Linked DNA regions of Saccharomyces cerevisiae S288C. Each later gene encodes a partner of the first gene's protein in a complex. Each region holds a gene or a part of one and is shown in the gene's direction. Other genes may lie near its edges.

Region 1 (3,250 bases):
CCGTGAAAATAGATCACGTAACGAGATCAATTGATCAGAGAAAACCTACTCCTTTAAACATGGATCTCATATTGGGAGGTGATAAACAGATAAATACCCCGCTACAAGAACACGTAAGAGAAGATGATGATGCCAAAAATGATCTTCAATTACCAACCAAGGATAATTTTTTATCACTGGACTACGAAGCACCCTCACCAGCATTTTCCAAACACGATACAGGTGAGGTTCTTTTCCCAAAATTTTTGGATAATCATGAAGTCGACTCGATCGTTTCTTTAGAAAGAACAAGATCTACAAAGTCTAACAAGAGAAGTTCAATGAACTCGCAAAGAAGGTCATTGACAGATACGCTATCGATCAAAGCGCAAAGTGAGGGAATGTTCATCACTGAGGCATCTTCTGTTGTATTATCTACTCCAGACTTGACGAAGTCTCCTGCTAGCAGCATTTTAAAGAATGGAAGGTTCGAATACTCAGATAATTTCTCCAGAGAACACTCTTACGAAGGTACCACGAATGAGGACTTTTTAGATATCAAGGACGATAGTGGTCCACTAAAAAAAGATGACATATTTTTAGAGTCTATTGAACAAAAATTTGACCAGCTAGTGATGGCCTCTGATGAAGAAAAAACTGAAGTTGAAAGGGATGTACCAAAACCAAGAGAAGAACCTCTGAAGAAGGATTCTGAAAGGCAAAGCGTTTTTGCAGATGATGATAACGAGTTAATTTCTGATATAATGGAGTTTGCAAGTTTTATTAACTTCGGTGATGATGATCTCAATCTAGACCTAGACTTGGGAGATACAACGGCCTCATATGCAACAGAAACCCCTGAACCTGTTGGAAATGATGAAGTAAATCGCTCTGGTACTTTTGATACACGAAATAACAAAGAGGATAGTTACAAAGAAAGAGAAACTCAATCTTATTCCGCTGCTGGAGCTACTACATACGGAGATGAGCGTCAAGGTCAATTACATACATTTGAACAAGACGGAAGTGAAATAAATGACAACGAATTTGAGAATGAAGATTTCAACAAACACATAGAACAGCCCATAGAAGTTACTCCAAGAAATAATGCATATTTACCAGAATTCGAACCCAATAGACCTGTTTCAATGTCCTTTAAAGGACTAAAAGCCCCAAGAATGAATACTTCTTTTATTGACTCCATGACGCCTGATTCTCCCGTAAAATCAGACTTAACAAGTCTAGGTGAGGTGTATGTAAACAGTAATAATGACCAGGGTGTCCGGTTTTCGTCCCAGATAATACTTTACGACACTTATGGAGAATTCGAATATGATAGACATCCAGAAATTTCCACTTGTAACCAGCTTACTCCACAACTGGCTCAAATGATCAAATTGGAATTAAATGAGTTAAAGAGCGCAATGGAAGTACACGATGATTCGCGATGTTACACACATTTTTATTAGAGCAGAAAACTGGGAGAAATGGAAATGAATCAAATCATACATATCAAGACATTCTAGTTTTTATAAACCTATAATTTATCGCAAGAATCTTGGGTGTTATGTGTTGTATTTGCGGCATCATTTCAAAATACCGTCTGCATTACCCGTCTCCGTCACGTGAAGTAAAAATTTCCAAAAAATATTGAAAAAAGAAAGAAAAATAAGATCCAGAATTCACTGATGATGAGCTTATGGTACGGCATGATTAACTACGCATTTGTATATTAAAGATTCTTTGATTTTTTCCAGAGCATTGAATACCTCAATCTATAAGTGTATTATAATGGCATGCAATTTTCAGTTTCCAGAAATAGCTTATCCAGGTAAACTAATATGCCCACAGTACGGTACGGAAAATAAAGATGGCGAAGATATAATTTTCAATTATGTGCCCGGTCCCGGAACTAAACTAATTCAATATGAACACAACGGACGAACTTTAGAAGCTATAACTGCTACACTAGTTGGGACAGTGAGGTGTGAGGAAGAAAAAAAAACTGATCAGGAAGAAGAGCGTGAAGGCACTGATCAATCTACAGAGGAAGAAAAATCAGTAGATGCATCACCTAATGATGTCACAAGAAGAACTGTAAAAAATATTCTGGTTTCAGTGCTTCCTGGGACAGAAAAGGGTCGTAAAACCAACAAATATGCTAATAATGATTTTGCCAATAACCTACCGAAGGAAGGTGATATTGTGCTGACCAGGGTGACAAGGCTTTCGTTGCAACGAGCCAATGTCGAAATTTTAGCTGTGGAAGATAAACCATCTCCAATTGATAGTGGCATCGGCAGTAATGGATCGGGAATAGTCGCTGCTGGTGGCGGTTCTGGAGCAGCTACGTTCTCTGTTTCTCAAGCATCATCAGATTTAGGTGAGACATTCAGAGGTATAATCAGGTCTCAGGATGTACGGTCTACAGACAGAGATCGTGTGAAAGTGATAGAATGTTTCAAGCCGGGAGATATTGTTAGGGCGCAAGTTTTATCATTAGGTGACGGAACCAACTACTATTTGACCACTGCAAGGAATGACCTTGGGGTCGTGTTCGCCAGAGCTGCTAATGGTGCTGGTGGATTGATGTATGCTACAGACTGGCAAATGATGACTTCACCGGTTACAGGCGCTACAGAAAAGCGCAAATGTGCCAAACCTTTTTGATATGTAACAGCTTATCTACAGTGCATATAGACGCGTATATATTTAAAAGAGGGTATTCGCTTCTTCTTCTTTAGATTGCATTCTTTGATGGTTAGGAAAAAGAAGCGGGAACGTGATTAAACTTTTTATTCTCTTTTATTTATTATATATTATAGTGCATTATCATTATCTATCTAAATTTGCCTTTACACGGTACTGCTTTCCGATTTTACTGGGTAAAGAAGTTTTTCATGAGTACCTCTTAAATCAACCTCACTTAAACCTACAATACCACCGAAGCTTTGAAACCTCTTAAAATAATGATCTCTTTTTTCACGCGCGGTTTCCACCAGAGCTGGCCAATAAACATCATGATTGTACTTGAATTTCAGATCACCACCATACAACGAATCTAGTTCGTTCTTAGGGACATATTTAACAAATGGTTCATCAAAAACTAGCTTTTCACGGGTCAGTGGGTCAATAAAAGGGTGAATTAACTTCAAGAAAGTCCATGCTAACCAAGGAATATTCGTCAAAAGTGCTTTTCCTAGTCTTTCTGGATAATGAGTTTGTAGAATATGCAGCACTTCTTTCCCTACACCAATAGGTGGGATTTTAC
Region 2 (3,252 bases), on another chromosome or scaffold:
GACGACAGCAATTCGACTGGTGGTTGTTAATTACCCTTTGATCCTCTGATTTAAAGACGTAATCCTTCCTGGGGGTAAGTGCCTGATGTATGGGTCCCCATGCCCTTTTTTTTCGTTTCTTTTTTCACTCCATTTCTTTTTTTTTTTTTTTTTTTGGTGAAAAATTTGCAAGGGCAGCTCATCGCAAGAACGAAAATTTTCAATCCAATATTAAAAGTACTTAAGTGTAGCTGTTGCTGTCTGCACTTCCCAATCCATTGGTACCTTAAGTTATTTCCTTTCGTAGTATTTTTCTTACTTTTGCTTCCCAAAGACGAACTGTTAACCAATTTCGGATCACTCAACCCAGGCAGGATAAAATAAGATGGCTAAGACTACTAAAGTAAAAGGTAACAAGAAGGAAGTTAAGGCTTCCAAACAAGCCAAAGAAGAAAAAGCTAAGGCCGTCTCTTCCTCTTCCTCCGAATCTTCATCCTCATCTTCATCTTCATCTGAATCTGAATCTGAGTCTGAGTCTGAATCTGAATCTTCATCTTCATCTTCATCCTCTGATTCTGAATCCTCTTCTTCATCGTCTTCTGACAGCGAAAGTGAAGCTGAAACCAAGAAGGAAGAATCCAAGGATTCCTCTTCCTCTTCCTCTGACTCTTCTTCCGACGAAGAAGAAGAAGAAGAAAAAGAAGAAACCAAGAAGGAAGAATCAAAAGAATCTTCTAGCTCTGATTCATCCTCATCTTCATCTTCTGATAGCGAAAGCGAAAAGGAAGAGTCTAACGATAAGAAACGTAAATCTGAGGACGCCGAAGAAGAAGAAGACGAAGAGTCTTCCAACAAGAAGCAAAAAAATGAAGAAACCGAAGAACCAGCTACTATTTTCGTTGGTAGACTATCGTGGTCTATTGATGACGAATGGTTGAAGAAGGAATTCGAACACATCGGTGGTGTCATTGGTGCCAGAGTTATTTATGAAAGAGGTACCGATAGATCTCGTGGTTATGGTTACGTTGATTTTGAAAACAAATCTTATGCTGAAAAGGCCATTCAAGAAATGCAAGGTAAGGAAATTGATGGTAGACCAATCAACTGTGATATGTCCACAAGCAAGCCAGCTGGTAACAACGATCGTGCCAAGAAATTCGGTGATACCCCATCTGAACCATCTGACACTTTGTTCTTGGGTAACTTATCTTTCAATGCTGACAGAGACGCTATTTTCGAATTATTCGCTAAACACGGTGAAGTTGTTTCCGTCCGTATCCCAACACATCCAGAAACTGAACAACCAAAAGGTTTCGGTTATGTTCAATTCTCCAACATGGAGGACGCCAAGAAGGCTCTAGACGCTTTACAAGGTGAATACATTGACAACAGACCAGTTAGATTAGACTTCTCTTCTCCAAGACCAAACAACGATGGTGGTCGTGGCGGTAGCCGTGGTTTTGGTGGTCGTGGCGGTGGTCGTGGCGGTAACCGTGGATTCGGTGGTCGTGGTGGCGCTCGCGGTGGCCGTGGCGGTTTCAGACCATCTGGTTCTGGTGCTAATACTGCTCCATTGGGCAGATCAAGAAATACCGCTTCTTTCGCTGGTTCAAAGAAAACATTTGATTAATGAGAAAATGAAATGAATTTCAATTTCAATTTTTTCTCTTTTTACGTTAATTACTATATTCCATTTTTGAGGAAAAATTTGGTCTATAATATTTTGTGTACATTAGTAAGTAAATAGGATACATTCTTAAACCTTTCATTCACCATCTCTATTTGCCAACTTTTCTTCGAATGGCTTACTCTTTTTTTTTTCACGATGAGATGAGATCGCTAGATACGGAAGATTACAAGGCCTTGGAAAATACTCAAAAAATTTCAGTAATATGAAATGAATATCTAAATAAAAGCTTGGGCGTTGTGCTTGATTGAGCCACGAAAACTTCCTTTAAGGATTAGCACATACTCCACTTAAAAGTAGGAACATACTCACATTAAGGTGTTATCAGAATAAATGAATGTTCAAGACAGAAGGAGGTTATTAGGCCCTGCTGCTGCCAAGCCAATGGCGTTTAGCAACACTACTACTCATGTGCCAGAAAAGAAATCAACAGATTTGACACCTAAAGGCAATGAAAGTGAACAGGAACTTTCTCTACATACCGGTTTCATCGAAAACTGCAATGGATCTGCATTAGTAGAAGCTAGAAGCTTAGGACACCAAACATCGCTCATTACCGCTGTCTATGGACCACGCTCCATTAGAGGATCCTTCACATCTCAAGGTACTATATCTATTCAGTTAAAGAACGGTCTTCTGGAAAAATATAACACAAATGAACTGAAGGAAGTTAGCAGCTTTTTAATGGGCATTTTCAATTCAGTAGTAAACCTATCTCGCTACCCCAAGTCCGGCATCGATATCTTCGTTTATTTAACGTATGATAAGGATCTTACAAATAATCCTCAGGACGACGATTCGCAAAGCAAAATGATGTCTTCTCAAATATCATCTCTCATACCACATTGTATCACTAGTATAACGCTAGCCTTAGCTGATGCCGGCATCGAATTAGTGGATATGGCAGGTGCCGGTGAGGCCAATGGCACTGTCGTATCATTCATCAAAAATGGAGAGGAAATTGTAGGTTTTTGGAAGGATGATGGTGACGATGAAGATCTTTTGGAATGCCTTGATCGTTGCAAGGAGCAATATAACCGTTATAGAGATTTAATGATAAGCTGTTTAATGAACCAGGAAACTTAGACACGAGATTATCCTAGTCGGAAAGAAAAGTGAAAGAGGTTAAGAAAAAATTCATGGTAAAAGAAGCGCACAAAGGCATTGTACATCAACATCATAATTTATAATGTCATTCTGCATATATGGTAGCTCCATTATATTACAACAACATAACTACTTCTATTCAAAATGTTAACTTGAATCCTAGTACTTTTTAAATATATATACTCAAAAAAAAAAAACTCAAGCAAGACTATCAAGCGTTTGTTTTATATCCCAAGCGCGATGCGAAATAACGTGAGCGTCACCATTGACTCTCCTCATATACTCAGACGAAAGTTCGACGCCAATTGAGTTCTTAATCAATTGTTTCAAGCTGTCCATCCCGAAGAACTTATTTCCTAATGGACGAAATTTACCATCCTTCAAAACGTTGACTTTCGTCAAAAACTCAGTCAAATCCTTCTCAAACAGTTCAGGTGTCGTGGTATTTAGTACCGGCAATGAAATTTCAAATGGTGTAG

Evidence for each region.
Region 2: the proteins of CSL4 (region 1) and MTR3 are in contact, whole or in part, in a cryo-EM structure (PDB 5G06), measured with the Saccharomyces cerevisiae proteins. Residues at the interface, in NP_014167.1 of Saccharomyces cerevisiae: Ile10 (codon at 1,798), Tyr12 (codon at 1,804), Pro13 (codon at 1,807), Gly14 (codon at 1,810), Pro39 (codon at 1,885), Gly40 (codon at 1,888), Thr41 (codon at 1,891), Lys42 (codon at 1,894), Ile44 (codon at 1,900), Gln45 (codon at 1,903), Tyr46 (codon at 1,906), His48 (codon at 1,912), Thr57 (codon at 1,939), Ala58 (codon at 1,942), Thr59 (codon at 1,945), Leu60 (codon at 1,948), Val61 (codon at 1,951), Asn126 (codon at 2,146), Asp127 (codon at 2,149), Phe128 (codon at 2,152), Ala129 (codon at 2,155), Asn130 (codon at 2,158), Leu132 (codon at 2,164), Pro133 (codon at 2,167), Lys134 (codon at 2,170), Gln192 (codon at 2,344), Ala193 (codon at 2,347), Leu197 (codon at 2,359), Gly198 (codon at 2,362), Glu199 (codon at 2,365); in NP_011674.3 of Saccharomyces cerevisiae: Glu54 (codon at 2,159), Asn55 (codon at 2,162), Cys56 (codon at 2,165), Asn57 (codon at 2,168), Tyr78 (codon at 2,231), Gly79 (codon at 2,234), Pro80 (codon at 2,237), Arg81 (codon at 2,240), Ser82 (codon at 2,243), Arg84 (codon at 2,249), Gly85 (codon at 2,252), Ser86 (codon at 2,255), Phe87 (codon at 2,258), Asn126 (codon at 2,375), Arg129 (codon at 2,384), Tyr130 (codon at 2,387), Pro131 (codon at 2,390), Lys132 (codon at 2,393), Ser133 (codon at 2,396), Ala181 (codon at 2,540), Ala183 (codon at 2,546), Gly184 (codon at 2,549), Ile185 (codon at 2,552), Glu186 (codon at 2,555), Leu187 (codon at 2,558), Val188 (codon at 2,561), Asp189 (codon at 2,564), Met190 (codon at 2,567), Lys205 (codon at 2,612), Glu208 (codon at 2,621).

What each region holds. Positions count from the first base shown.
Region 1 is NC_001146.8:213,153-216,402, forward strand, and holds CSL4 (exosome non-catalytic core subunit CSL4), read left to right. Parts: upstream 1-1,770; coding exon 1,771-2,649; downstream 2,650-3,250. Other genes in the region: BNI4 (Bni4p), read left to right, coding at 1-1,448; PDR16 (phosphatidylinositol transporter), read right to left, coding at 2,835-3,250.
Region 2 is NC_001139.9:804,769-808,020, reverse strand, and holds MTR3 (exosome non-catalytic core subunit MTR3), read left to right. Parts: upstream 1-1,999; coding exon 2,000-2,752; downstream 2,753-3,252. Other genes in the region: NSR1 (Nsr1p), read left to right, coding at 365-1,609; CHO2 (phosphatidylethanolamine N-methyltransferase), read right to left, coding at 2,972-3,252.